5 linked regions of the Macaca fascicularis genome follow. The main gene of each other region encodes a partner of the protein of the gene in region 4 in a complex. Links are inferred from orthologs where the notes say so. Each region holds a gene or a part of one and is shown on either strand. Other genes may lie near its edges. The genes, in order: TMEM107, CC2D2A, TMEM17, CEP290 and MKS1.

Region 1 (6,321 bases), on a different chromosome or scaffold from region 4:
CATAAGCGAGCTGAGATCTGGAAACCAGCAGCATCTAGTTGATGTTTGAAAACAAGAGATGGATGAAGTGACCCGAGGAGTAGTGATCACCAGCAATTTTGGGGCAAGCAGAGGAGACAACCCAGTATTATGTCCCCAGTAACTGACACACTGCAGGTACTCTAAGTATTCATTGAATGAACGTAAAAAGGAACAACCAGAACAGTACAGTAGTAGGCAAACCAGGGGAACCACTGTTTCAAAACTAAGGGAGAAAAAAGTGCAAAAGAGAGGAGTGGGCCAAATGCGGTGGCTCATGCCTGTAATCCTAGCACTTTCGGAGGCCTAGTGGGGAGGATGGCTTGAGCCCAGGAGTTTGGAACCAGCCTGGGCAACACAGTGAGACCCTGTCTCTATAGAAAATGTTAAAACTTAACCAGGTGTGGTGGTGCTCACATATAGTCCCAGCTACTTGGGAGGCTGAGGCAGGAGGATCATCTGAGCCTGGGAGTTCGAGGCTGCAGTGAGCTATGATCCCACCACTGCACACTACACTCTAGCCTGGGCAGCAGAGTAAGACTGTCTAAAAAAAAAAAAAAAAAAAAAAGAGGGGGTGGTCAACGTACCATATGCTGAAGAGAGGTCAAACTCAAACTCAAGTCTGAAAAGTGACTCTGGATTTGGGAAGCAGAAGTCATTGGCGATGATCAGTTTCTTGGGGGTGTACTGGTAGATTTTTAACAACCAACTCTCCAAAAACAAATGTATCCATGTATATACATAAGTGTATGATAAATTGTACTGGTATAAAGTATGGATAGCACAAAATTTACAAATAAAAAGGCCAGACGTGGTGGCTCACGCCTGTAATTCCAGCACTTTGGGAGGCTGATCACCTGAGGGCGATCATCAGGGCAGATCACCTGAGGTCAGGAGTTCAAGACCAGGCTGGCCCACATGGTGAAACCCAGTCTCTACTAAAAATACAAAAAATAGCCGGGCATCGTGGCACCTGCCTATAATCCCAGCTACTTGGGAGGCTGAGGCAGGATAATCTCCTGAACCTGGGAGGCAGAGGTTACAGTGAGCCGAGATCAGTGCAGTGCACTCCAGCCCTGGCGACAGACCAAGACCCTGCCTCAAAAACAAAACAAAACAAAACAAAACAAAAAAAAAACCCGTTCCTATTGAATGAGTATCATCCATCCTGTGCACTAGATTACAGATTTTTACTGATGTGCAGTGTTTCCTGAGAAGAGGTGAAGCGTCAAAGTATCAAACGACAAAGAACAACGGGAGTCCATTTGCACAATCCTACCTCCTAAGTCCCAGTAAGCAACAAATACAACTCACAATTTTCAAAACCAGATAAAATTTGGCGAGATCACAAAATAGCGAAATACAGAAACTATTCCCTGCACCGCATGATAACTACATTAACTAAACTTACAATCAACATAACAGAAACGTAAGTGATCGTCAGGAAGAATCAGATAGGAGCAATCAGGGTGTTGCAAGTCCTGATTACGCAGAGACGTTAATCACGTTTCATGCATTCTCCAATCATCATGTTCTCATCTGCCCTCCAAAAGAGGAACAGGTAAGGATTATCCCACCTGACGATATTTCTAAAGAGCCGACATTCCGCACTCAGTCAAAAAGATTCCGTTTACAGCTAGGGTGAGTTCACGACGCGTTGGTATGAGTAACCCTACTACTTAGCATCCTTCCAGTTGTATTGCCATATTTGCTTGCACATTTTTAAAAGAATTTTTTCATTCGGCTGCCGAAAAGGAATACATTTCTTTTTCCCAGAATGCTCCGATCATTTACGTGCTGGACGTTCTAACTGTAAGCACTTTCTATTTACATATCTCCGCCCACTCCCTTCCGCCAGACAACTACCGTAATAACCAAAATAGAAGCGATACCAAGTATCTTACGGTCTGCAGAACTAGAAAATAACGTTGCTTCTTTTTTTTTCTTCAGTAGTTTCGCCATCTCAATTGTGCCTTGAAAACTGTATATGTCTTAATCTTACTACAAAACATATTTTATTACAAACCACTAAATACAATGCGGATAATCCCAGACTCAAGACGTAATTATTCCAACACATATCCTCCAGCAGAAGCAGTTTCCGAGGGGAGGACCGAAGCCTATGCCTTCCTTCTTCCAGGAATACGAAGCGGCCCTTGCCCCTGTAGCCTTCGTCCTTAGGTTCCCGTCATGAAGGTGCTCAGAAAGGTTTCTTTTTCAGCCCAAAGACGGTGACGAATAAAGTCATTTCAGTGACAGCTGGAAGGGCACTACCGAGGCAAGTGGTAAATTCAGAAACCCTTTCAATATAAATACCCAAATCTCCAAACCAGAGACCCCACCCCTGAAAGTGTAGGACAGGTGGCATGGGGTAGGGAATGAAAATTCAAAAGACTACAGGATGTTAAGTGGATCTGGTATCTCACACATAGAGGAAAGGGCTGGGTGGGGGAAAAACCCTCAGGTTTAGGGTCAGCCTTCCTCCCTCATTCCCGAATATTGGATGCTACCACACCTGCAGAAGACAAAAATGTACCAATACGTAGTGCACTCCCAACGCTCGAATATGAAGAAGGACAGGGCCACGGATGCACTACAGTGAGCCCCAATGGCTTGGGAAGGCACCAGAGTTAAGGAAAGTCTTTGGATCGACAGATAGTGAGGGGTCAGAAAAGGCCAAAGGCCAGTGGTGGGGTTGGCATCTGCATTCAGGTTCATCGTTTGCTCCCTCACCATATTGCAAGGGCTAGAGTCAGCATCCCCGACTTCTGAATTTTAGGACAGTCATGTGAGGAGAGACCAGAAGTGACTGCGCAGATGGGATCTCAGGCTACCCTACTCCATATCTAGGGGCCAGCCTGGATCCTTCAGATGAGAGGTAAGAGTAGGCTCTCCTGCTATGCCACACAGGAGTGCTGACAGCGACTTGATATGCGCTGGAATCAGCCTCCAGTGTCCTGGTCCTCCTGGTCCACAATTCTCTGACCCATGTGCCTGGCTTCCGTTGCCTCTTCTGAGTTCCCAATGTGCTTTATATCTTTCGTTTTTTGCCAGAGTCTTGCTCTGTCGCCCAGGCTGGAGTGCAGTGGCACGATCTCAGCTCACTGCAACCTCTGCCTCCTGGGTTCAAGCAATTCTCCTTCCTCAGCCTCCTGAGTAGCTGGGATTACAGGAGTGCACCGCCACGCCCGACTAATTTCTGTATTTTTAGTACAGACAGGGTTTCACTATGTTGGTCAGGCTGGTCTTGAACTCCTGACCTCAGGTGATCCACCTGCCTCGGTCTCCCAAAGTGCTGGCATTACAGGCATGAGCCATCGCACCCTGCCTGTGCTATCTTTACACACTCCCATAGCACACTGCTTATCACACTGAATTACAGATGTGTATCTACCTCCTCCTCATGGTTAAAAAAAAAAAAAGTGGAGTTTTTATTATTACTATTTATTTTGTAGACACGGGGTCTAACTATGTTGCCTCCTGCGCGGGCCTCCCACAGTGCTGGGATTACAGACGTGAGCCAACGTGCCTGGCCAAAAACTGTATTTTACTCTCATTTCGGAATTTTAAGTGCCTAGTAAACAGCAGGATTTAGCACATGGTTGAAGATCTTTGAACTGGAGAGACTGGCTACAGCAGACACTATTGTGTCAGGTGGCTGAAGGGAGTCCTGATAGAAATGGGTCGTGTGGGAAAGGTGGGCAGGCAGAAAGGATACAGATGAGGCTCTGGGTGCTGTTGAACATGGAGACTCCTGAGAGGAAACCGGCCAGCTCCACTGCAAAGAGGCCCAGGGTGACAGAAAGCGCGGCCACCAGCCTGCAGAGAGGAAGTGGACTGGCTCAGGCCTTTGGACTTCTTCTAAGACCCCTCCACTCCCACCACCTCTTCGTTCTGGCCACCCCGTCCTAAGAGCTCACTGAATGTCCTGCTTGTCATACTCCTCGGGGGTGAACCTGAGAGGCAGGCAGGCCTGAATGTTGCTGTCCTGGGAGCAGGGCAGAGAGGAAGAGAAGTGAAAAAGGGGCAGGCTGCTGGGCAGGCCTAGGGACGGCGGAACACGAGAAAACCCAAGTGGGTAAGACACTGGGAGAGGGGCAGGGTGGGGCGGGGACGACTCCGAGATGGGAATGGGGGCGGACGGAGGGCAGCCGTGGGTCTTACCCGGGACCAGAATAAGGTGATGACGACCACCAGATGCGCCAGGATCGTCAGGAAGCGAGAGGGCACAAGCCCTGAGACCCGGCCCATGGCCCTTGGGAACAAGAGCGGCGGTCTCTGAGGCTGGAAGTTCAGAGACTGCGACTCCCGCAAGTCCACCAGCAAGCGGACAAATCTAGACGAACTCCTCCTTTCCGCCAGCTCAGGCACCGCCCAGTTGCCTTGGTAACCGCGTACGCGGGCGTGCTGCCGCGTTCTCGGAAAACCTCGCGAGAGCAGTACATTCTCCATCTGCTGTGGGTCTTTCAGGGCTAACTCAGGTCAGGGGTACCCGAAGGAGCTTCTAACCCAATGGCTGGGTACCCGTGCGCAGCCAGGCCCTTTGTTTCTCAGAGGGTGAGGGGTGGCACAGCCGCGCAGCGCCCGATCTGCCCACGCAGGGCCGACGAACGGAAACCCACCCTGGCCTAGCCTGGGGACACCTCTGCTTCCGCGGTTGCCCACGCCGGGAGCGGCCCCCAGCCCCAGCTACGCTGCCCAGTTGTGGATCACTTGAGATCACTCCCACCGCCACGCCGGGCTGAGGTCCCCGCCATGCCGAAGACTCACACCCGCTCCCCTTCCTCCTCTCCTCATGCCTTTAACTTCCCACCAAGCTGGGCCTGAGAAACAAGGGACCCGAACGTGGAGAGGCCGGTGTTCCTGGACTGCTCGGCAGTTACAGATTGTCACAGAGCCCCTGGTTGTCTGAGGACCCTAGGCCTGAACCTTCCTTGAGGAAGACTGATTTCTCTCAGACTACTTTGCTCAGTTTGGTGAAGGATTTGCAGAGTGCAAAAAGTGGTCCGCGTCCTTAAACTAGCGTGGGAATAAGAGCAAAGCAAGGTGGCTGGAAAGGTGGGAGTGGACGAAGGGAATGGTACAGTCCCTGCGTCTCTGGGAGGCTTGGAGCCTACGGGAAGGGAAACTCAACTTAGATTTCTTTATCTCTTGGAGGTGCTGGACCTCCGACATTGCCCAGCTACAGTCCAGGAAGCTCTTATCACCGGCGACGTCATGACCTTTGGGCCTCAGCGCAGGTCCCTGCAGATCTGAAAGTTCTTCTCTAATTGCTCAGTCAAGTCCCATCCTCAAGGAAACTCCCGGCCCATTTCCCAGGAGAACAATATCTTCCTACTTCCCACTCGACGTCTCAGTGCCTTTAGCCAGACTAAAGTACAAGCCCAAGAGGCATTTCTCATTCCTTCAACAAATATTTTTATATATTTATTTATTACCTAGTAATAGTATTCTAGTCAGGGAGATCAACAACAGACATGCAAACAAATAAATCCGTAAGATAATAGGTGCTACAAACAGGGATACGCGGGCCAGGCACAGTGGCTCACGCCTGTAATCCCAGCGCTTTGGGAGGCCCAGGAGGGCGGATCATCTGAGGTCAGGAGTTCGAGACAAGCCTGACCAACATGCTGAAACCCCATCTCCACTAAAAATACAAAATTAGCCGGATGTGGTGGCGCGTGCCTGTAATCCCAGCTACTCGATTACTACTACTCGATTAGCTACTAAGGCAGTGGAATCGCTTGAACCCGGGAGGTGGAGGTTGCAGTGAGCCGTGCCATTGCACTCCAGCCTCTGCAACAAGAGCACAACTCCGTCTCAAAAAAAAAAAAAAAAAAAAAAAAGGAAACGCTAGAATTATAATTCTATAAAAGTAGGGCATTTATAATTCTATAAAAATAGGGCATTTATTCTTAAACTTTATTTTAGAAACTTTGGCCAGAAATTGACCGGGAGTGGTGGTTCGCGCATATAATCCCCGCACTTTGGGAGACCGAGGCAGGGAGATCACCTGAGGGCAGGAGTTTCAGACCAGCCTGGCCAACATGGTGAAACCCCATCTCTACTGAAAAAAAAAAAAAAGCCGGGTATGGTGGCGCGCGCCTGTAATCCCAGCTATTCAGGAGGCTGAGGGAAGGAGAATTGCTTGAACTCGGGAGGCGGAGGTTGCAGTGAGCCAAGATCGTGCCACTGCACTCCCGCCTGGGAAACAGAGCAAGACTTAGTCTCAAAAAAAAAAAAAAGGAAGAAAAAGAAAATGCACTCTGGGACCAGAAGCGAAAGCTCATGCCTGTAATCCCA
Region 2 (6,642 bases), on a different chromosome or scaffold from region 4:
GACACCTTCACTTGGCTTGACATACCTCAGATAAAGTTCTTTGCTTTTATTCCTGAGCCTGCTTTGTACTGCAGTTTTCCTGTTGTAATACACAGAAATCCATTTTGCTCAGGCCAGAAACCTTGCAGTCGTTCTTAACTCCTTTCTCAGTCTCACATGACACACCACACTCAATCCATCGGAAATCCGGCCAGTTTTGGCTTCAAATTATATTCAGGATCTAATCACTTCTAAACATTTCCACTATTATCACCATGGTCAAACACCATCTTCTCTCTTGAAATCTACTGCAAGTACCTCCTAATTTCTCACCTTCCCACATTGCTGGGCTACCATATTCTCTGCATTGAAGCCAGTGCAAATTGATAAAAATTTGAGTGACATCATGACGTTGCTTCACTCAAAATCCTCCAGTGATTTCCCTTTGTCCACAGAGTAAAACCGAAAGTTTTCTCCAAGGCCTACAAGCCCTGTGTGATTTGCACTTGAATCCTCTTGCCTCAGGACCTTTGCACCTGCGGTTCCTGCTACCTAGTTCTCCTTTTCCCCAAGATATCTGCATGGCTCTTGCTCTTTCACTTTCTTCCAGTCTCTGCTGAAATTTCATTATCAGAGAGCTCTTCCCTGACCATTCTCAACACAATGATCTCCTCCCAGCACCCTCCTGGAATTCCTTAACTACCTTACAATGATTTTTTCATAGTACTTATCACCACTCAACATACATACTTGTTAATGTCAGCCTATATCCATTAAAATATAGCTACAAGAGGGCAGAAACATTATTTTGTTTATTGTTTACCTCCAGAGACTAGGATTATGGGACATCATGGACATTCAATATATACTTGTCAAATGAATGACTAAGTCACTGACTTATTGCCTGTGGTTCCATAGCCACATTCTGGGACTATTTAAAGCTCCACTGTTTTTTCTAGTCTTCTGTGAGGATTAAGTGAGAAACCATGTGGAGAAACAACAGGCATATGGCTGACAAATCATAAGCCCTTTCTAATATCCATGGAACCCAAATCTTAACTGGGACTTGGTCAGGTCATTTAAGCAGCTCATCTGAGCTCAAGGTTTCACTGACCCTACAGGGGAATTACCATGTTAAAGGGAAATAAAACATCTGAAATTCTATTGTCTTCTCTACAAACTTCATCACAGTGTACAAAAAATAAAGGAAGGAAAATGTAAAAGCTGCTAAGAAAATAGAGAGGCAAGAAGGTAACCTAGAGTGAATGAGGGGGCAGATAATAAGGATGAAATGTAAAAGTACACAAGAGTTCTCTAATAAACAACTCCGGTCATTGCAAACTGAAAGAAAACCAAAACAAACAAACAAAAAATCTGTGAAATATTTTAGTAACTAAAAAAAGTTCTCTATAAGTTAAAAAACGCTTTATATGAAATAAAAAATAGAAGTAGAAAATGAAAAATGTAATGGGATTTTCTTTTCTCCTCATTCTTTCCTGATCATTTCCTTTAAATGAGTTTCTAAGGAAATCAAATGACAACGAAATTTACTTTTTATATGAACACTGTTGCTAAGAAAACATAAATCAGTACTGCATGGTTTTAATATGCAGCTTGCCATCATCTTATGCATTGGTACTTGTTAATATATTCCTACTGACAACATCAAAATAACTATGATTTACTGCACACTTATTTTGTGCTAACTCTAGACATATGTTCTCTTTAGTCCTCACAATAACATATCTGGCTTAGCAGTATGTGCCCCAATTTGTGTATGAATAAACTGAGGCTCTGACAGTTTGCATGATTTGCCCAAGGTTATAATTATTAAATGTCACATCCAGAACTTGACCCCAAGACTCTGATTCCCAAGTCCTCCCTCACTCCACTCTACCCCTTTGTCTCACCATTTATTCTTACTTTTGTAATGGCATCAATAATTATTCTATGCTTTCCAGAATAGCCCACTATTCTGGAAATATTTACAGTTGAAAGCTGTGAAGCACTGGTGAGAAAAGGCTTAGGCTACATTAAGTCAATTATTTATTTTACTCAGTGCAGAAAACCAAACATTTTTTTCAAGGAAAGTACTGACACCTTCATCTGAATAAATGGTCTATTCTTAAGAGTCATCAGTGGATCAGAGCCATACCTGTAGGTTGAGATACAATGCATCTCAACTCCATATTGGTTGCTTAAAAAATCATGCAATATATATGCCCTACTCCAGGATGGCAAAAACATGGGTTTATAGGAAGAGTGGCCCACGTATTTCTTTGCCAAGGAATATGTGGACCTGAGTTCCAACTTCAGCTTTTTTTATTAGCTGTGTGATCTTGGAACAATGTCCTCCCTTCTCTGAGACACATTTTTTTTTTTTTTTGTCTGCAACATTGCAATCATACTTCCTACCTTGAAGGATGATTAATTTATAAGGGCTAAATGATGAAATGTGTGTAGCAAAATGCCTAGCACAGACTGGGCTCTTAATATTGGTAGGTTTTGTTAATAAGAAAAAGTGATTGTGGGGAGGGAAAGTGGAAAAAAGGAATGAGGAGGGAAAAGAGCTTGGGGGATAGAAGAGGAGTCATGAAAAAGACCTTAGGTGATTTTCAAGCCCACCCACCTTTGGCTCCAATCTTCAACCCCCAGCTTCCATAACTCATGTTCCATCTCTCGTTGCCTTCAGCCAGGCCCAGGGCAGTTGCCTTGCTGTTTCCATGTATGGTGCTTCTGCAACCTCCTGCACTTCTACCCAGGAGTATTTTCTTCCTCACACCGTGAGAATATTTTTCTGTTCCATCCTGGAGCTTGGACACCTGGGGAGGTGCCACATACATTCTTTTGGAATACATTGTCTTATTCTATAAGTTATTCCAGCTGCAGTTTCCCTTAGCATAAGGTTAGTGACAAATAGCTTTATAGAATCATTGAATCAGCTCAATATAATATACATTGGCTTTGAAGAGTACATATGGGGACCATATTTGAGCTGTGTTATATGATATATGGCCAGTGCATTTACACAATGTGGTAAGTGCTGGAAGCCCCTCCCTGGATGTCATCCCACTGTGCTTTCAGTGTTTTATAAATCTCTTATGGCACTTAGCTCATTGTACTCTTATCATGTGTTTATAGGTCTATTTTCCCAGCAAACTCTGAGCTTCTGACCTGGTCTAATTTATGTTTGCACCCTCTAAACTTAAGTTCATTGCCTGGTGCATTGTTGATGCTCCATAAATGTTTGAATGAATGACTCTATAAGTGGGCTCTAGGAGATATATATATTTGTGTATATATAAATATATACAGAGAGAGAGAGACAGAGAGAGAGAGAGAGAGAGATTTCATGCTGGCACTGAATTTATTTGCAGAAAAGGTTATATGAAAATGCAATAGCAAACATATATCTTATTCGACTTTATTAGCTTTTCATAGCACCTCTTTGCAATGAGGGGAAACAAACAGTCAGCTTAAGTTGTAGCCAGTAGATTTTCTTGAAGTCTTTGGACAGCACAGCAACTCTCAGCACTGTGGTTAGTAGCCCTTTCTCTGTCTAATACCAAGAAAAGTGTATTTCGCAGTAACTAGTGCTTCTCACCTTAAGCCAGTTTGAACTAAAAGGCCCGTAAGTGCAACATGCAGCTAATGGTTCACAGAGCTTTTCACTCAGGGCTTGTGATGAACTGGACTTACATTTCCTGCAAACCAGATACCAGATAGCAGCTCAAATCAAAGCTGCCAAGTAATGGTCTATGTTCCCATTTCAGAAAGTAAAAACATAAATAATGATGAGAGCCCCTAAATTTACAATTCATTAAATCCAGTCTCATGGTATCCGGGAGAGACTGAATTTCAAGCCGGGTAACTGAAAACAGGAAATCATTGTTGCAGCCCAAAGTCCGGTTAGGGACTGATTTACCTTAAGAAACTTTACAAAAGGCACTTTGCAGATTCTGCTTTCTAGGATGGAAGTGGAGAGAGATGGTGCTGTAGAATCTTTTAAAAGGGTCCGGAGGGAAAGGCTGAGTGTTGGAGATGCCCCTGGGCTCCTCCCTGGGAAGCTGCAGCCATGTCTTGGAGCAAAAACACCAGCTTAGCAACCCGTTCCTAAGGAAGGTCACTCGGTGGCTTTTTTTTTCTTTTAAAGTGACAGGTTACTTCCAGTAGTGGAGTACAAGCATGCTGGGTAAGCAGAGACGCACAGCCTGCTGGAGAAGGACTGAGAGAAATCAACATGGGCAGCACTGCAAATTAGATTAAGCCTTAAGAGCCGCCCCTCCCTCATGTCATCTGGTCGTCTTGCATTTCCAGTGAAGAACAGGCTCAGAGGTGGGGCGATTTAGAATCTTAAAAGATCATCATTACATGGTGAAGCTGTCTAACGTGGCAGCAGCAAAAGCTCTGTGGAGGTCCTGCAGGGTACCAGCAAATGTTGCGCTCAAGTGTTTTCCAGTTAAAAGTGGAAGGTTGAATGCACAAGTTTAATTTTTGCCTATTCTCTGAATCCCACTGCAATTCCTAAAAACGGATATAAATGTTATGGCTCAAAACAGTTGAAAAGAAAAAAAAAAAAGAGAGAGAGAGGAAAGAGGCAAAGTAGCTGGAAGAGTAATAGAATGAATGGAGCCAAGGAAACCACACTCCAAATAGACTAGTGTGTATGTGCACATGTGTTTGTGTGTATCTGTATCTGTGTGTATTTTGTGTGTACGTTTGTGTGTATGTGTATTGATTGTATTCTTGATGCTCTGGCATTTGGAGCCTTGATCCTGGAGAAACTGATTCTCCTAGGTTAGCTAATTTCTAGAGATAGCAAATGATTCCCCTGAAATATGCAAAGTCTTATATACAAGCCAGCCAATCCAGAGCCCACACAACCAACCATCTCCATTTTCAAACTCTCACACACTAAGCCAATATTCCTCCTGTCCCAAGTCACCCCAGGTCCAGATACCAGACCACTATAGCCCAGAGAACACCACGATTATTCAAGCTATCTAGTCCTAAATTTACTCAGCACCCTACCCTGTGTCACCTATTCCTTCCTGGGAAAACCCTAGTAAAGGCTCTGCTCTGTACTCTGCTGTCTCCCTTCTGCCTTCTGACCAACACTGGTTCTTCCCTATGTGGTCCTGTGTGGCATTCCATGTTCTATGATTTGTATGTGTCTCCCCAAAAGCATGTATTGGAAACTTAATCCCTAATACAATGTTGTGGGGAGGCGGGACCTAATGAGAGGCAATTAGGCTGTAGGACTCTGCCCTCATGAATGTATTAATGCCATTATTGCAAGAGTGGATTCCTTATAAAAGAAATGAGTTTGACCTCCTTTTCTCTCTTTCTCTTTCTTGCTCTCATGTTCTCTTGTCTTGCACCATAGGATGGTGCAGCAAGAAGACCCTTGCAGGATGCCAGGCTCTTGATCTTGGACTTCCCAGCCATCAGAACTGTGAGAAATAAATTTCTGTTCATTATAAATTGCCCAGTCTGTGTATTCTGTTACAACAGCAGAAAACAAACCAAGACACCATGCCTTTTGTTTCTAGGGATCTGTTAAGTATAAACTTCTTCTTTTATGCCAGTCATGTTTGTGTCTGTGTATCTTACCATACTGAATTAAAATAAATCCAGAGTACTTTTTTTGACTCGGCCTGTATGCATGCATATGTGTCAGTGTATTTGTGTTTGTGTCTCTGTATGTGTATGTATGTTTATGTATCTGTGTGCGTGTATGATGGGGTATGCAGGTAGGCATGAATACAAGGAAATGAGCTGATTTACTCTGCAGAACTTCAACAGCTCAGGATTTGGGGCAGCAATGTCATAGCTGAATCGTGTTCTCTCTCACCCCCAAAGATGCTGAGGTCCTAACCTCAGTATTTCAGAATGGGACCTTATTTGGAGACAGGGTATTTACAGAGGTAATCACATTAAAATGAAGTAATTAGAGTGAGATCTAATCCAAGATGATTGTGTCCTTACAAAAGGGGAAATTTGGATTCAGAGATAGACACAATAGAAGAAAGGCAACGCGAAGACATGGGGAGAGCACCATCTCCAAGCCAGGGAACACTCAAGGCTATCAGCAGCCAGGAGAGAGGCCTGGAACAGACTGTCTCTTGAAGCTTCACAAAGAATCAACCCTGCAACACCCTGATTTCAAATTTCTAGTCTCCTGAATTGTGAGAAAATTTCTGCTGTTTAAGCCACTCAGTGTGTGCTACTTTGTTACAACAGCCCCAGGAAACTAATACAACCATAGACTAAGGAAGGTGGGGAGAGATATGGGGCTGAAAATGCAGGAAGATTTGAAAGTCTGTATATTAAAGGATTGATCCTCAGGATCCTTTTTCTTGGCAGCCTGAAAAATGCCCATTCCTCAGGCATAATTTCTGTCCTCCACATCTGCCTCATCTTCTGCTGCCCATAGGAGATTTTTTTTTCCCCCCTAGGGAAGTTAAACCAGAGACTCTCTGGTCTCAAGTTCACAGTTACTGCAGAAAGTGAGTGTGTCTCAGGACTGAAAACTGATATGAAATGGAGATGTTGCAGGGCCCTTTCTGAACTTTTCTCAAGAACTTAGACAACCAAGAACATACCATTGGCTCCCCCATCCTACCTCTACCTATACAGAACTGGAGAAAGTAGAAAATTATT
Region 3 (5,862 bases), on a different chromosome or scaffold from region 4:
TTGATTTTCACATACTTATATAGGGAACCAGGTATACTCCAATAGAAAATATTGGTTCAGCCTGACCCAAAAAGTCATGGTTTTACTGTTCAGATGGAAAACAAACAAATGACTTGGTCATGGTTTCAATTTACTATCTTTTTTTCCCCCACTGTTACTATATCTGCATTTTAAACAATATGTTTATTACAGCAAAATTACTTGGAAATTTTGATAAATCAATTTTCTCAAATTTTTTACAGTTAAAAAATTTTTTTATGATTATGACTGACATTTTGTTATTAATCTCTTAAAGTTTAAATGTACCAGAAGTTCTGCTATTTAAAATAAAACTCTGGAAACAATCTTGAAATAGAAATGTCTCCATCATCCCCTAATTTATCTGCTTTGTAGATTTAATTTTATTTTATATTTTCTTATAGAATCACCTACCTATACCTACCCAGATACCTACCTAGTCCTATCTGGGAAACAAATGCAAATGAATATGTTTTAGAAAACTATTCAAACAGAATTCTATTTTAAATTCCAAATTATTAAGAGTGTAACTAGTGACTACTTTGGCATGAGAAAGATTAACTAGCCACTGCATGGAGGGAGAAATATTTGGCTGAACTTTATATATAATCATAAAGAGCAGAAATAATAAAATTAGCATAGTTTGGTCAGGAAGAATCAAGAATGAGTGGGAAGTAAAGACATTTTTTGAAGTTCAGCAAAACAAGAATGAATAAGGCAAAACCTGGGAATCCAAAGTATGAATTGTAGAAAAATAAACTTGAAAAGAGCAATGTTTAATGCAGCTACAACTGTCTCTCAGTGAAATACATTATGAAGGCCCATTTCCCTATAGAAAAAAAGAAAACCTGTAATGAACGTATCATATCCTTTAAGACAGTCCAACAGTCACTAATATAATGTTCGGATAATCCAAGCAACTTTGTTCTTAACCAAATCTCCTAAAATAGATTTCTCCTATTAGCAAGGGAGCATGCTTATTCAGGATCATGAGTATAGTCCCTTTGGCCATCTTAGCTCTCATATGTATTAAGAGGCGCTCTGGTTTCCAAATCAAGCCTCATGTGAATTTAATGGGTATGAAGCAGTTCTTTGGTGACCGATAACCTAGTAGATGAGATCACAAGTGCTAATTTAAAACGCCTACTACAGTGCCCACTACATAGATAGCTCTCTAGGATTTGTTTTCCTTCCTTCCCTTGCAACTCTGTAATAAAAAACACAAATCTATAGCCCAAAAAAATTGCACAAGACAAGGATGATCTGTTGTTGATACCTTAAATATTTAATAATTTATTGTAAAAGCATTTTATATACCACCATTACAAATACTGAATATGGTTTTATGAAAGTTATAATTTTATAACAAAAATATTTCCTAAATACCAAGGCAATCCACCTGTTTTCTTCTTAATCTCAGTATAACAGCTAATATTAGGGTTAGAATTTAACCCTAGCAGACATGAAAATTTGGTCTCTTGGTTTATTTTTTATTTATTTATTTTTTTGAGACAGAGTCTCGCTCTGCTGCCCAGGCTAGAGTGCAGTGGCTTGATCTTGGCTCACTGCAAGCTCTGCCTCCCGGGTTCACGCCATTCTCCTGCCTTAGCCTCCCAAGTAGCTGGGACTACAGGTGCCCGCCACCACACCTGGCTAATTTTTTTTTTGTATTTTTAGTAGAGACGGGGTTTCACCGTGTTAGCCAGGATGGTCTCGATCTCCTGACCTCGTGATCCACCCCCTTTGACCTCCCAAAGTGCTGGGATTACAGGTGTGAGTCACCGCGCCTGGCGGGTCTCTTGGTTTATAAATATAGTCAGATACATAGGAACATTGACTGGCATTTCCATGTCAAGAAACATGGTCATATGTACAGCCAAGACACGGACAACCAACAAGTTTTAAAGAAATGGACACATCTCTAGTTACAGATTCTAACCAGAATTACTACAGGAGAGCTGGCAAATGACAACCACCAATACATACATTTCTACACTCCTGAAAAAGACAACATCAAAAAACATTAAGAAATTTGGCATCAGGTAGACAACATCTAGGTTTTGGGGCTAATATACTGATTCATACATTGTACAAAGTTTCATCATTGCCCCCAACCTTGGAATTTCAGAGTGAGAGTGTATACAAAACAATTGCTTTGTCCCTTTTCTCATATTAGAGCTCTGATATTTTCCTAACTCTTACAGTCTTCTAGAATGATCTGTCAGATTTTCACTCAACACTGGGTCAGATCTCTTCTATACATGACCTCATCCTTCTCATGTCTCCTCTGTTTGCAGAGAGCCGGTCAAAGTCTTGGAGGTGGAAACGAACTGCCAACTGATTAACCATTTTCCTTAAGGTAAGAAATGCTGCAACAACTTGGAAAGCAAGGAAGAGAGTGAAGATGATATGTATCGCTTTTTCCAAGGGCAGATTTGTTAGGCCTTCATTAAAGAGCAAGAAAAGAATTAAAGGTAACTGCAATAGAAGGCTCAAAAGCCAAAAGCCAGCCAACTCAGGAACCTGCAATGACACATATCAAAAGTAATAAAAATCAGTAAAATATAGTTTTTGTTTATACAGATAAGTACTTATCACTACTGTGAACCTACATTATGGGCTCTGTGAGTGATTCCGAAGGAGGATGACATGGTCCTTGTCCTCAGAGAACTTACAGTCTAGATGAGAAAACTAATTTATGTAAAGCAATCCTAGAATACTACACTTTAGTGAACAACTAAGGGCAATATTTAGAAGTACAGACTAAATGCTACAAGAAATAAGAGAGTGATTAGGGTAGGTGAAAGAAAGACCTCAGGGATGTAGGCTTTTAAAGTTGTGGAGGAGGAAGAGGCAAAAAGGTAAGTAAGCAAACACGTGAAACTAGCATGATTGGGAATCAGCACATCAGCCTGGAATGAATGGCTGAGTGAGAAAACAGCAAAACCTACAGTAAGACAGGCTGGGTGGGGCCTTATTATGAAGGGCCTAGAAAACCACAGGAATCTTTAGGCATTATCCCTACACTCTGGTAACCATAAATGCTTAGGTAGCATGATGATGCAGAAAACATGGGCCTGGCGTAGGAAACGAATTCATAATTTTCCCCCATTTTCTTATTCAGGATCCAAATACACATGTCTAAGTAACCATGTATTTTCAAGACTGATGAGAAGAGGGAAAATATCAATTTTAAGTGTTTACCACATTCATATGCTTTACATAAATCATTTCACTTAATCACAACAAACCTGTGAAGTAAATATTATTTTCCTCATTTTATATATGAGGAAACCAGGGCTCAAGAGATTAAGCAAACAGACCACAGTGACAGAAGTGGTAAAGCTGGAGTCAGGCTTTAAATTCAGGCCTGTGCTCTTTCTGCCACACCTCACTGCCTTTTACTTGTTATGAAAACTGATTTCATTTATATCTATCACTGAGAGAAAGGAAAAAAGAGCTTACCTTTTCCTGTAGGTTACCCATGTAGCCCAGATACAACCGGATGGCTTCAATTAAGGTTATTAGGATGATAACAGTGATCACAATGAATTTGTAGTAATCAGGCAAGATTGAATACTAAAAGAAAGGCCAAAACATGTTTGTAAAATTGCACGTATAGTAACACTGATTTGAGATAGAAAAAAATTATTAAGAACTTTAATTTTATTGACACTCTAACAACGTCAGGGCAGCAAAAGTATTAAAGCTTAGATTTACCTTCATGTGAAGCATCATAATGCTGCTCACCCACCACAGTGGGAAATAGTAGGTATTAAAATAAAGTGACATCTGCAATGCCAAACTGGAGACCATTTCATTTTCTACAGAAGGAATAGAAAAGGAACAAATTATGAAACTTGGTCTATGCCCTATAAATATATATATCCTATCCCGTAGAATTAATAACTATAATATTGGCTCAGTAAAACACCAAATTTTAAGCCTATTTATAATCATTGACAGTAAAAGGAATATTCATCCTAATACCAGTTAGGTCAAATATTGGCTATTTGGGGGTATGTTTCATATTTTTCAATTATTTTACCATTTTGCCATTACAGTCTTCTGACTTTTTTGCATATACTAGTACAGATTTAATGTAGAATATCAATATAAATCCTATTCAACAGATAATTATCATTGCCTGCTTTGTAGAATTCTATGTAAATAGCATATAAAATTAATGCATAAAATAAATAAAAATGAATCTCTCACATATAAACTAATCTCATACAAAAACGGATTACCAAGATTATATAATTAGACACATCTCTCTTTTCAGCATACCCTAATCTTAGCCATTCTTTAAAGTCCAATTCAGCGTCGTCTTTTCCATCAATACTTCCTTCATCAGTTCCCCCACCCCAGCAGAAATACCTTTCCCTTCAGGTACTTATCACTCTAAACTGTCAATAAGAAGTGCTAGCAAAGAACCACATTCCCCTCCCCGAAAAACAGTCTGGTGTACTGAACAGATCACGGGCTTCAGAGTTCAAGCAAACCCAAGCTCCCCAAACCTCTGTGACCCTGGATGTCAGACTTTATATAAATTATTTAAGTTCTTTGAGCTTCTATTTCTTCATCTGTAAAATAGTGAAATTAAAACTTCCTTACAGGCTGCTTGTGAGAATTAGAGCCAATATGAATTATTTCTTCCTAGCACTGTGCTGGGCACACTTAGTAGGCACTCAACAAATATTAGTCCCCTTTCCTTCTTCTCTTCTATTTATCTACTTATCTGCAAGCACACACCATGTCCCACCCTAATTTGAGACCCTCATAGAATCTAGCATCTTGCTTTATATGCAGTGAATATCAAATACACATAAGAATGAATTAATGTAAGCATACTGTCATAAGGACATTACTAGTATAGCCATTTGTGATACATGAGTTCCATTTACCTAAGGTTGATTCCATAACACTTTTTGCTTTTATGTAAGACAGAAGGGTCCTAAATTAAGAATTTGATTTTTAAAATTGAACCCTACAAAATACATCCTAAATTTGACTAAATTCTTAAGAGCGGACACATATATTGAAATCAGTTGTTCTACACGTAAGATTTTAAAGGTCCTAAAATAAATGTCTTAAGAACATTATTTCTCCTTTTCTCCATAGTTGAGTGTTTTTATCTGTCATTTAATAATTTTAAAATATAAGAAACAGTCATGGTCTCTCGCAGCAAAATAGTTTCTTTTAGCTCCAAAAATATGCCTGATTATTATGATCTACTTTTGCTTGCAACTGCTTATTAAATTACCACTGATAAATGAATGAATTCTTAAAATCTGTTAAATCTGAAGACAACTCACCAGCCTAGGATCTTTCTGATAGCAACAGCACAATGCTGTGGACATGGTAATTACATAAATTTGTTATTACAGTACAAATAATCAAACCTACTTCTGATCCACAAAGAACAAAATACGGGAAAGAATAATAAATTGGGCAAGCAGAACATTTCAGTACCTTTGAGAAGAAACTGTAGTCAAATTTTGCAAAGAACGGTTTTTATGTTAGAAGTATTGTGTGTTAACATCTTAAAGGTTATGCTATGTCCATATTTCAGCAGATCAAACTTATAATCATGGAAATGAAAATCAAATTAATATGTAAATGAACCTTAAAAGCATAAGATATACATTTACTGAATTTTGCAAAAGTTCAAGTTGAGTTCTATAAATGGAATTTAAATTAAAACATACAATATAAATCAGGGATAGGTAAACAACTGGTCAGCTGCCTAAACGTTTTTGTACAGTCAATGAGCTAAAAATGTTTTTTCACCTTTAAATGGTTAAAAAAGTAATATTTTTTTCATACGTGAAATCCATACGA
Region 4 (5,849 bases):
TAGAGGAGTTTAAACCTGAAATTATGCATTAGAATAATAGCAATTGGAACAGAAAAAAAGTAGTGGAAAAACATTACAAAGAGATATGTTGCTTTACTGGATATAAGACTTGAGGACTTGAGGTAAAAGGGAGAATCAAAAATGTTTCATGCTATTAAAAATCTAGAAATTGTCGTCTTAAGTAAGAAAATTGCCTGGCATGGTGGCTCACGTCTATAATCCCAGCACTTTGGGAGGCCAAGGCAGGAGGATTGCCTGAGGCTGGGAGTTGGAGACCAGCCTGGATAATATAGTGAGACCTTGCCTCTACGAAAAAATTTGCTGAGCATGATGGCACACCAAGCATGATGGCATGCCGAGCATGATGGCACGCCGAGCATAATGGCATGCACCTGTAGTCCCAGCTACTCAGGAGACTGAGATGGGAAGATTGCTTGAGCCCAGGAGGCAGAGGTTGCAGTAAGCTGAGATTGTGCCACTGCACTCCAGCCTGGGTGACAAAGTGAGGCCCTATTTCAAAAGCGAAAAAAAAGGAGAGAAAAAATTATTTATTTATTCAACAAATATTTACTGAAAGTCTCCATGTGCCAGCCATTGCTGGCACTAATGAGCTTAATAAAACAAAATTTTTATTTTCAGTGCTTACATTCCAGTTTAAAGGCATATTGAAATAAACTTTTTTTAAATGTTTAGATGAAAGCTCAAGAAGTAGAGCTGGCTTTGGAGGAAGTAGAAAAAGCTGGAGAAGAACAAGCAAAATTTGGTAAGCACCTTGGAAAAAGTTTATTATGTTATTAAATAATGAGTTCCATTTGTTCATTAAGCTGTAGAAAATTAAATTCTATAAACTGTATATATTCAATTTATTTTTAATATATAACATTTATTTAATAATACATATTTCTAGACTCCTGTTTTATGGATCTGCCGTATAATACTTTTTGTTACCTTATAATCATGATGGACTCTTTTAAAAGAATTAATTTTGTTATTAAAATTTATGTAAAAGTTTGTTCTGTGGTAACTAATCAATTAAAACATTTGTCTTTTTTTTTTTTTTAATAGAAAATCAATTAAAAACTAAAGTAATGAAACTGGAAAATGAACTGGAGGTATGTCTTTTTGTGTTCCCTAGGATGTAATTGTCATTAATTTTATTTTGAATTGTTTTCAAATTTTAAAATTATTATTGGCTGGAAAAATGATAAGGATGATTGTAATCATGGTTATTTGTTTATTCAGTATATGTTCTACATGCCTATTATGTGCTATATATATATTGTACTAAGGATTGAGCATACGGTTGTGAACAAAATAAAAAGCAGTTAACTGCTGAATGGAGCTTACAGTCTTGGGAATTATACAGAAAGATTACTAGTAACTGAGGTGGAGGGTGGGTGGGCATTTGAGGAATAATTACCAAAGGGTGTTATAGAAGTAATTTTTGACAAAGCTGAGGGCTAAAATATGAATATATTGTTGAGGAACAAAATACATAGAGACTTCTGAGAAGGTAGGAATGTAATGCAAATGGATCAGCCTTTGAAAGGAGGAATACCCTTTTCCTTTGTGTTAGGAGAGGAGGAAGAATGGATGAGGGGAGGAAGAGTGAATGTGTATAGAAGCTTTTATGTTTGTAGGCATAATGCCTGGAAGTTGAGAGGGTGGTGATGACATCATCTGTTTAAAAGAGTGGGAAATGGTGTGGTCACATTTTAATGAAATTAGATAAAATTTGAAATCCATTGGAGAAAGGACTGGAGAGTTGGGGATCTGGAGGCAGACAGATTTGAGTTCTAGTCCTGATTCTTTTACTTGTTAACTCTCTGAACTTGGATTACCTATTGTTTTTTGATTATATATCCAGCTCCTGGGAAGATGCCAAGCACTTTGAATAAATACTTACTACATGAATTATGGAGTTGGATCAATTCTGTGTTAGTCTTTAGCTAGGCAGCTGCTATAGAATAGGAGGGTACAGTTGAAGATATTGGTAGGAAAGTGGTTGAAGCGATGATTGTGAAGTCTTAACTGAATGGATAAGAAAGTCAAGATTGGGGTTGGGTGGGCAGAAGGGTAGAGATAGAGAGGGAGAAGTCAAGGGATTAGAGTGTCCTGTGAGGTCAAAGGATAGGCATAGTGGGAATAATTGAAAGAATGTTCTGGCTGGACAAGGATCTGATGTAGGTGTGGGAGTGAGAAACTATAGTGAATTCAAGAAACAAGAAAAAAATAGATTAGAACAAAAGTTATGTGGAGATTGCTTAGGTGTACATTTGATAGACGTCTGCGGGCCACATGCTTAAATTCCCAATGCATTTTGCGGAGTTATTGGGAAGTTCGTGGCTTGCTTCTACCATGAGTAAGTAAAGATGGAGAGCAGGACATCTTGTGAGAAAGCAGCTGAAGTTTTCATAGGATGATGGAGGAATGATAGGAATGATCACCTGAAGTTGCAGGGTTGGGTAAACCTAGAAGTACCAACACCTTCTCCTGACCCTAATGTATATGGGATCTGAAAGAATGAGCACCTTCCAATTGAAAGAGTTTCAAGAGCATTAGTATCTTGAAGGATCCAAATTGCAGCTAAGCCAAGATGGAAAGGAGGATTCAGTAAAGCATCTGAGGTTGTGAAATATTAATGTATCTTGGAAGAGAACTTAAGAGAGCACAATGGAGTACTTTTTGAAGGAGAGAAAGAGTAAGAACAGTTTGGTTAGTGCAGAGGAATAACAGAACTACATGGTGAAGAAATGAATGTGAGACACGTTAGATGACCAAATGATGTGATGTTCTGGGCCATGACCTAAATTAACAAGACTGTGAGGTAAAATTGATTTAATTTACAAATCTTAAAGGTAACCAAAACCTGAGCTGTTTAATATGGTAGCACTAGCACTAACCACTTGTAGCTATTTATATTTACATTGGTTAAAATTAAAATGAAGAATTTAGTTCTTCAGTTGCAGTAGCCACACTTCAAATGCCCAAAGGTAGCTACATGTAGTGAGTGGCTACTGAACTGGACAGCACAGAGAGCATGCCCATTATGCTAGAAAGTCCTATGGGACAGCGCTGGTCTAAATAGTGCATGGTATGAGAGAAAGGGCAGGTTAAGGCACTCAGCTTCACTGACGGGGGCGGAGATTCTGTTGGTTTGTACTCCAGTTGCACTAGCCACACTTCAAATGCCCAAATGTAGCTACCTGTAGTGAGTGGCTACTGAACTGGACAGCACAGAGAGTGTCCATTATGCTAGAAAGTCCTATGGGACAGCGCTCGTCTAAATAGTGCATGGTATGAGAGAAAGGGCAGGTTAAGGCACTCAGCTTCACTGACTGGGGCAGAGATTCTGATGGTTTGTACTCAGATTCCAGATCCCTGAGGCTCAGGAACTTTTGCAGTTTAGTCTGGTTACCTGTGTCCCAGTGGTTACAACAGAATGATTAACAGTCAGTTCTTTGCAGCTCTGGGTGGCTCAGGAAAAATTTAAGGAGTTATTAGCTGTGACCTAAAGCTTAAGTAAGTTAAATTAAAAAAAAAAAAAAGTTCTTAAGCTAATAAGCTAATATGATTTTAAATATCTGCACTGAAGTATAAGGAATATTTAAAGTCAATATAATGATTTGCTTCTTGACTCATTTGAACCTCAAAATATAATGGGATTAATTTATACTTTGGGTTTATTACTTCAAGATGGCTCAGCAGTCTGCAGGTGGACGAGATACTCGGTTTTTACGTGATGAAATTCGTCAACTTGCAAAGCAATTAGAACAAAAAGATAGAGAATTGGAGGACATAGAAAAAGAGTTGGAGAAAGAGAAGAAAGTCAATGAGCAAGTAAAGCACCTTTTTTTTCCATGAATCTTCACTGTTCAAGTTACCTGGCTATTTATTATTGGTAACAATATCAATTTTTATATTGTATGTTATATTTGAAAAATGATGTTCACTTATCTCTAAGATTTTATATCACTGTTCATTTTGTCATCACCAATTTTAAAATATAATGTAACAGATACTTCTAGTGAGTATGACTTGAAGATTAATTATTTATATTCGGAGGTACATTTTTCTCAGTACATCAAACTTGTTACCTAAAATTAATGCTTTTTTCTGGAAGATTGGTATCAAGAAACCAACAGATTTTCATAAAGAAGTGATCTTTCTAGCGCCATAGTTTATTTTGGGTAAAAGTAATATTTGTTTGTTTCAGTGTATTTATATGATTAGTAGATTTGTAAATGAATCTTTTGATGATATATTCAATAATGGTTAATTAAATATCTTGTTTTTGGTTGTACCTTATTTTATGTGTGATATATATATATATACACACAGTATATATAGTTTTTGAAAAGTTGTGTTCATGTCAGTAGTTTATAAATGACATCTTTAAAATAACATTTTTAATGCATAGTTTTTATTACTTCATGTTATTCCTTGTTATAAGCTAGTAATTCTTGCAGTGTTCACTTGAATTTAGTTTTAGGAAAAAAGATTTTTTGCAGATCAACTTGTATTTCCTGGAAGAAAATTTCCTATTTTTACCTTAACTTCCTGTTTAATGTTTTATTTACTTAACATTTATTTGTTTTTTATTTCACCTGAGCTGTTAGTAAACTTAGTAAAATTTGGTGCCTACATGTGGTAGCTGTCCTGTCCCTTATACTCAGAAACATTTTCCATCTTTGTGTCCTTTAAGTCATTGTTGTGTTATATTCCATTTATTTTATTTTGTCCATTGTTCTCTCAGAAGTTGAGGGTCATACATTAAGAAAACAATGATATGCTATTTAAGATAATGTATCATAAATTGATTTGTAAGGAAAAGTATCCCCATTAATGTATCTATTTTACTCTAAAATTTTAAAGAATCATATATAAGTTAGCTATGGAAACAATGTGGTAGAGACAGTATGGATTGATGCCACTTAAATGTTAGGAACAAGCTCTTAGAGTATTATCTGTTTAATTAACTCTGCAAAACACAGCAGACCTGTGGATTTTTTAATAGTCATAAAGGATCTAGCTTATAATATTCACTGGTAGAATTGCTTAGGGGGATGTCTGTGGTTTTCTGGACTTTTGTTCCTCTATATAGACCTGTATCAGTTGACTTACCATCATTCATACCACATACCCTTAGCTAATCAGAACTACCTTGTCCATTTTTATCTTAGAGTATTATCTTTATTCATAGTCACACACAGAGAAAACTTCAATATGTGACCTGTGTTCCTTTTTGGCTGCTCAATTCCTTTAGATGAAATATGGGTATGGGTTGCTTTGGCAATTACTTCTTTGCCCTTAACCAGTCATTCAGTTTTGTTGGGTCTTTACAGCATACCAGAGACTGTGCTAGTTACTAGTGATATAGTGGGCAACTTTGTTCTGGTTCTCAAGAATATTCATAGTCAATAATAAGCATAACATAGTGATAATATGATAGGGAGATAGATAAGGTTATGTTCTGGCATACTCTGAAGAGGGATACCATAATCAGCCTTAAGGCACAGGATGTGATCTGTAAACTGAGATTTGAAATAGAGTTAGACTGGTAAGAGGAATGAGGATGTACATGGTGGTTAAGGAAAGAACATTCTGGGTAGAAGATACAGCATTTGCTAAGACCTAGAGGTAAGAGATGTTATGGAGTATTTAGGAAACTACAGTTATTCTTTTTGACTGAAATATAAGTGAAAATAGCTTTCATAGAGTTCTTACTATGTGCCAGGCACTTCCGAAGCATTAATTCATTATTGCTTATTTGATACTTACCATGTGAGATAGTTGTCATTTCTACCATGATATAGATGAAGAAATGGAGACAGAGAAAGGGTAATTGC
Region 5 (6,333 bases), on a different chromosome or scaffold from region 4:
ACTTTTTAAAGAGACAGTGTCTCACCCAGGCTGCAGTGTGCAGTGCTGCTATCATAGCTCACTGCAACCTTCAACTCCTGGGCTCAAGTGATCCTCCCACCTCAGCTTCCCAAGGAGCCAGGACTACAGGTACATGCCACCATGACCAGCTAATGTTATCAATCCACAGCTCTGCTAATGAAAGCATGTCAATCTTTCAAAAACATTTATTGAATACCTGTTCCTTGCAGAGACCTACAGAGTCATAGACAAAAAATAAAAAAATATAGGCTGTACCCTCAAGGAGTTTAAAATCTTACTGAGAAGACAGAAGCAACTGAAATGCAGTGATTGAAGAAAATGCAAAACAAGGTCACAAGGGTATTTTTGTCATTGGCAAATTGAGGACATAAGTCATTTTCCACAGCTATACTAAACTCTTCTTCAAACCCATATACTCAGAGTTTGGGCCAAATCCCCTGATGAATTTTATCTAGATTGTTCCAGACTCCACCACCTGTCTTTTTTCATGATGCATGGAGGAAGTCAAGCCCAATGGTTACTTCTCCCAGTATGCACTCTGCAAGTGTATAATCAGAGAACTGGCAGCTCCTCCAGGCCCTCCAGCAGGCAGAGAAGGGAGCAGCAGCCTCACCACCTGTAGACTGTGCCCATTCTATTGCAGGCTGGCTGCCAGCAGCAGCAGCTCACAGCGGTTCCTAGACAGGCTACCTGTCTCCCCTTACTAGGCTTCTGACATAACACAAGAATCCAGTGAGGCAAAAAAGCTAGAGGAAGCAAAGAGGGAAGCTATGAGACCCTGGAAAGAATAATACCTCCTCCAAATTGGTGTATCTATCGGAGTCAGTGTAGGTAAAGATTCGTCGGTTCTTCTTGCCACCTGAATTCTCCAGCTTCAGGATCTCCTGACGGTACTGATAATCCAAAGGACTCTGACAGGCTGCTTCATTTTGGTACAGATCTACTTCAAACTGAGGTTACCATAAGGAAACAGAGATGTGTACATCATTATAATACAGCAAACTTTTGCTTCTGTAACTATTTAATCAAATCAGTTCTACAGAGCTGATGCTATCTGACACGTTTTCATAACCAACACTAAATTAATGGATGGCAGGGGAACCAAGAACATTAGCCCTAAAAGGAACCAGACTGATAGTCTAATCCAAATCTGTGATTACAGATGGCATATAGCCCAGAGATGAAAAGTGCCTCACCCAGAATCATAAAACTGAGTAGTGGCAATCCCTGTTACACTGCCCTTTAAACACAACAGGGCGAAGTATAAACCGTTACAACCTGTCTGGAAATCACTTTGGCAATATGTATCACCAGTCATGTGGAGTCAGACCAGGTGGAACAGACAGAGCAGACAAAAGACACTGGCTCACCTGGCTAAAGAGCTTCTCCTGCCACCCAATCACAATCTCCTCCTCTTCGTCTTCCTCTGGGCGGTGTCCACCTCCAAAGACAACAGAGTGAGTCAAATGCTTGAGCCGAACCAGCACCACTTCTTGCTCTGTGGTTGATTATAACCAGAGTTCCTATTCGTATATTTGCCACAAAAACCAGCTGGAATTCAGCAATTTATTAAGCACTCAACCTAGAGAAATGCTAGAGAGGCTGTATATAAGAGTTAGTATGAGTGGAAGCCAAGATTAGAACCCAAGAAGTCTTAATCACTACTCTAATTTGAGTAAAAGAAAATACCCTCCAGGAATTTTTTTGGGGGTGGGGGGGATGGAGTCTCACTCTATTACCCAGGCTGGAGTGCAGTGGCACTGTTTCAGCTCACTGCAACCTCCATCTCCTGGGTTTAACAATTCTCCTGCCTCAGCTTCCCAAGTAGCTGGGATTACAGGCACATGCCACCAACCTGGCAAATTTTTGTATTTTCAGTAGAGATGGGGTTTTGCCATGTTAGCCAGGCTGATCTTGAACTCCTGACTTCAGGTGATCCACCTGCCCTGGCCGCCCAGAGTGCTGGGATTACAGGTGTGGGCCACTGCGCCCAGCCTCCTCCAGGAAATATCTAATCTAACTGGATATAAGAAATTGAAATTTAGGGGCCGGGCGCAGTGGCTCAAGCCTGTAATCCCAGCACTTTGGGAGGCCGAGACGGGCAGATCACGAGGTCAGGAGATCAAGACCAGCCTGGCTAACACGGTGAAACCCCGTCTCTACTAAAAAATACAAAAAACTAGCCGGGCGAGGTGGCAGGCGCCTGTAGTCCCAGCTACTCGGGAGGCTGAGGCAGGAGAATGGCGTGAACCCAGGAGGCGGAGCTTGCAGTGAGCTGAGATCCGGCCACTGTACTCCAGCCTGGGCGACAGAGCGAGACTCCGTCTCAAAAAGAAAAAAAAAAAAAGAAACTGAAATTTAGATATAAGCTGAATAGCCAGCCCTTCCGCAGTCCAAACTGTCTGCGTTTGCTAGAAAATAACCCTGGCATTTTTATCTTTACTATTTCTAAAGCCATATATGTAGTATCACAAACACTGAAATTTAGGAGGCCAAGTGTCAGGAGAGGACAGTGAAGGCAAATAAATGATTTTTTAACAGAACCAAATCTGGCTGGACGCAGTGACTTGCGCCTGTAATCTCAACATTTTGGGAGGCTAAGGTGGAAGGATCACTTGGGCCCAGGAGTTTGAGACCAGCCTAGACAACATAGCAAGACCTTTTCTCTACTAAAACTTTTAAAAAATCAGCCGAGTGTAATGGTGTGAGCTTGTAGTCCCAGCTACTTGGGAGGCTGAGGCAGGAGGATGGCTTGAGCCTGGGAGACCAAGGTTTACAGTGAGCTATGATCATACCACTGCACTCCAGCCTGAGTAACAGAATGAGATTCTGTCTCAAAACAAAACACAAACAAAAACAAAGAAAACAAATCTAATCTAATACACTCTTGGCTGGCTGAGTATGCCTTTTTCAGAGACACATGTTTCACAACCCGCAAGCCCACACTCTTGCCCAGGAACAGCTCTGAACAGAAAGAGAAACAATAAAGGCAGACAGACTAGTGACCTGACACAACCACTCTGTCCTCTCCTCCTCATTCTTTCGGTTTCCCAGATAAGGAAAACCACAAGAATATAGTTGATCTTCATATGCACATTATATGTATATTTTTCAAGCAGTCCCCAGTTTAAAAATTGTTTTTTAAAGTGTTTATATGTGTATTTAGAGTTTGGGACACGTTTTCTCTTTTAAAAATGCCACAAATAGAATGTAGATTGCCAGGCAAATCTATAACGTATCAGAAGTATAGTACATGTTATCTCACTACATTTGGCCACAATTCTGATTAGTATCAGAATTAGTAGTAGATGGCACATCATCACCATAACACCCACTGGCAGTTGGCTGAGGCCTAAAAGTGGCCAAGTCTATGAGGTCCTTCCAGAGCTCGGCAGCAGGCTGATAATGAAGAAAGTTGCTTGATGTGATTCTTTGCAGGTGAACCCTGTCAAGAAAAGCCCAAAATATTTGTTACCAGACACGCAACCAGGAGATGAACACAAAGCAAGGATTGGGGAAACAAAACGGAGGAGGTGGGGTTGCCAAGGTGTGCTGGGTGCAGACAACGGAGAGGAGGTGGGTGGGTGCGCGGTCCTATGGGGAAGACTGAGGGTGAGAGGGTGTACTGGGGACACAGGGCTCTGAGAAACTGGGAGCAACAAGGACGTGAATGGACTTGGGTGGGTCTGTAAGGGGTTCTTGGAGACTGTGAGTGGATGGGGTACGGATAGTGAAAGAAGGGGGGAGCCCGGAGAAGAAGTGGTCGGGATTGTAAGCAGAAGTGGGGGCCTCGGAACACCGAGTTCAGGTTGGAATGATCTAAGGACATAAAACCATGGGGCCTCGGGGCTGGGGCGGTGTGACTACCGGAGGCGCAAGTTGCGCACGGGGTCCCGGGAGCGATACACTGCCTCCCCGGTGTCAGTGCTCCAGACGGTCTCCGCCATGACAGCTGCGACGCGCCGCGACTGCGCCGGAAAGCGCGCCGCTCTGTTTTCCCGGCAACAGAGACTCTGGATCGGGAGGCGACGGAGGTGCTGCGCGCGCAACCCGCCGTTCTCGTCACGGCGCCACAGTCCCAGTAGGCCCCCAGTGCAAGTGCAGCCCAAGCCTAACGCCCAAGAGGGCTCCGGGGTCCTGCCAATCACCGCTTACCATGTATGCGAGAAAAGCTCACCCAAAGCGGGACCTCGTGCACGGTGCAAATGAGGAAACTGGCACAGCCATCAGCCCACCTCATATAGCCAGATGCAGAAATGATGATGGAGACCAGGTGATCTGAGTCTTCGCCCTCTACCTTTTCCACCATGCCACAGTGCCTTCCACTGAACGCATGAAAACTTTGGCCTGAAAATCGGTGGATGTAACTGTAAGAAATGCACCCATTATTCCCAAAGGAGTCAGGGAAGGTGACGGCCCTTAGCCAAACAAGAAAATACATTCTCGGAGGACAAAAAAGTGTGTCAGAAGATTTATTAGTCTTTGTGTTGATATTCTCTGAACAAAGAAAGAAAAAACAAGGAAGTCAACAGTAAGGAAGGAAAAGATGTTATTATTGAACTAGTTCTTACCTTGTGTGTGTTAGTTTTGGATCATTAAAACACTTCAGATACTGCACGGGCTTCCTGAAAAGCCAAAAAAGTGACATTAAGAAGTCATGCTTCGTTGGACTAGCAAAGGAAGGACATGCTGTAACCTCACGTCTGGCGCCCTGGCGCCTTGGGAATGTCAACATTTATCAGGCTTTTTCACATCTGGTCCTCCTCCAACAAAGTAAGCAATTGTCCCCTGAACTCAGGAATCTCATGCCAGTTTGATGATTTGGCATTGGAAGCTCTGGGTGCCATAGCCACTAGTTGTGTAACACCAACTCACCATAAATAGCACCATTTATTTAGGATCTAGTGCAGCTTCAGCACTTTGTTTTCATTGTCCCAAATCCTTGTAGAAGCCTCTCAAGAAGGTATTTTTGTTCACTTTAAGAGTGAAGTTCGTGAAGGCCAGAGTTTAAAGGACTTGCTAAACTTGGAAGTGGTGAAAGTACTAGGATTCCAGCCCAAGTTCTGTCTTTTGAAGCCTAACCACCTTCCACTTTGCCTCATGGCTTCTCACCTACTAATTTATTCTATAAATGCACACATTTCCAACCTGGAAAATAATAATTTTAACAGATTTTTAAAAAGGCATCTTTCTAGCTCCTAAGAAATGGTCTCTCTAATGTTTCCTTTTGTGAGTAGGCAATCTGTGCCACATGCACAACAGCTGATAAAGTGGAGCTTGATTCTAGTTTAATTTTATAACCAAATCCAATGTACAACAAAGCTAATCTGACATAATTATATGCAAAATAGTTTCTATATCACATGGTATGGAGATATAAGCTATTTGTCAAGTAAGCAACCATAATTAGTATTATTTTTATATAGGTAAACTAAGTTTTCATATTTTGTTTACTGATTTCTATGAATCAGGATCCTTTTATGTTTAAATATTCAGTTTATTGGTCTTAAGTACATTGTTTTGCAACCATCATCACCATCCATTACCACTACTTTCTTATTTTTGAAAATTGAAACTCTGTTCCCGTTAAACAGTAACTCCTGATCCCCCTCTTCCAGCCCCTGGCAACTACCATTCTACATTTTCTCTCTATGAAATTTGACTACTTTAGATACCTAATCCATATTGTAGCATGTGTCAGGATTTTTTTTTTTTTTTTTTTTTTTTACTTTTAAGTTCCAGAATACATCTACAGAAAGTGCAGGTTTGTTACATAGGTATACATGTGCCATGGTGGTTTGCTGCACCTATCAACCCATCAGCTAGGTTTTAAGCCCCGAATGCATTAGTTATTTGTCCTAATGCTCTCCCTCCCCTTGCCCCCTACTCTGCCACAGGCCCCAGTGTGTGTTGTTCCCCTCCCTGTGTCCATGTGTTCTCATTGTTCAACTCCCACTTATGAATGAAAACATGCAGTGTTTGGTTTTCTGTTCCTGTGTTTGTTTGCTGAGGATGATGGCTTCCAGTTTCATCCAAGTCCCTGAAAAGGACATGATCTCATTCCTTTTCATGGCTGCATAGTATTCCATGGTATATATGTACCACATTTTCTTTATCCAGTCTATCACTGATGGGCATTTGGGCTGGTTCCATGTATTTAATATTGTAATTAGTGCTCCAATAAACATACATGTGCATGTGTCTTTATAGTAGAATGACTTGTATTTCTTTGGGTATATACCCAGTAATAGGATTGCTGGGTCAAATGGTATTTCTGGTTCTAGATCCTTGAGGAATACCCACTCTGTCTTC

Evidence for each region.
Region 1: CEP290 (region 4) and TMEM107 share a complex: the UniProt entries of both Homo sapiens proteins name them as parts of the tectonic-like complex. The link is inferred for Macaca fascicularis from reciprocal best matches to the Homo sapiens genes CEP290 and TMEM107.
Region 2: CEP290 (region 4) and CC2D2A share a complex: the UniProt entries of both Homo sapiens proteins name them as parts of the tectonic-like complex. The link is inferred for Macaca fascicularis from reciprocal best matches to the Homo sapiens genes CEP290 and CC2D2A.
Region 3: CEP290 (region 4) and TMEM17 share a complex: the UniProt entries of both Homo sapiens proteins name them as parts of the tectonic-like complex. The link is inferred for Macaca fascicularis from reciprocal best matches to the Homo sapiens genes CEP290 and TMEM17.
Region 5: CEP290 (region 4) and MKS1 share a complex: the UniProt entries of both Homo sapiens proteins name them as parts of the tectonic-like complex. The link is inferred for Macaca fascicularis from reciprocal best matches to the Homo sapiens genes CEP290 and MKS1.

What each region holds. Positions count from the first base shown.
Region 1 is NC_088390.1:8,259,823-8,266,143, forward strand, and holds TMEM107 (transmembrane protein 107), read right to left. Parts: upstream 4,395-6,321; 5' UTR 4,270-4,394; coding exon 4,183-4,269; intron 4,007-4,182; coding exon 3,939-4,006; intron 3,856-3,938; coding exon 3,737-3,855; intron 2,897-3,736; exon of another isoform or gene 2,798-2,896; intron 2,631-2,797; coding exon 2,534-2,630; intron 2,289-2,533; coding exon 2,219-2,288; 3' UTR 2,017-2,218; downstream 1-2,016. UniProt on the Homo sapiens protein: Plays a role in cilia formation and embryonic patterning. Requires for normal Sonic hedgehog (Shh) signaling in the neural tube and acts in combination with GLI2 and GLI3 to pattern ventral and intermediate neuronal cell types.
Region 2 is NC_088379.1:14,620,394-14,627,035, reverse strand, and holds the start of CC2D2A (coiled-coil and C2 domain-containing protein 2A), read right to left. Parts: upstream 4,076-6,642; 5' UTR 3,905-4,075; intron 1-3,904. UniProt on the Homo sapiens protein: Component of the tectonic-like complex, a complex localized at the transition zone of primary cilia and acting as a barrier that prevents diffusion of transmembrane proteins between the cilia and plasma membranes.
Region 3 is NC_088387.1:59,412,709-59,418,570, reverse strand, and holds the end of TMEM17 (transmembrane protein 17), read right to left. Parts: intron 3,843-5,862; coding exon 3,739-3,842; intron 3,598-3,738; coding exon 3,484-3,597; intron 2,542-3,483; coding exon 2,263-2,541; 3' UTR 1,280-2,262; downstream 1-1,279. UniProt on the Homo sapiens protein: Transmembrane component of the tectonic-like complex, a complex localized at the transition zone of primary cilia and acting as a barrier that prevents diffusion of transmembrane proteins between the cilia and plasma membranes.
Region 4 is NC_088385.1:95,071,448-95,077,296, reverse strand, and holds part of CEP290 (centrosomal protein of 290 kDa), read left to right. Parts: intron 1-693; coding exon 694-763; intron 764-1,065; coding exon 1,066-1,112; intron 1,113-3,696; coding exon 3,697-3,840; intron 3,841-5,849. UniProt on the Homo sapiens protein: Involved in early and late steps in cilia formation. Its association with CCP110 is required for inhibition of primary cilia formation by CCP110.
Region 5 is NC_088390.1:48,491,490-48,497,822, reverse strand, and holds the start of MKS1 (tectonic-like complex member MKS1), read right to left. Parts: upstream 3,992-6,333; 5' UTR 3,969-3,991; coding exon 3,889-3,968; intron 3,467-3,888; coding exon 3,357-3,466; intron 1,520-3,356; coding exon 1,392-1,519; intron 972-1,391; coding exon 816-971; intron 1-815. UniProt on the Homo sapiens protein: Component of the tectonic-like complex, a complex localized at the transition zone of primary cilia and acting as a barrier that prevents diffusion of transmembrane proteins between the cilia and plasma membranes.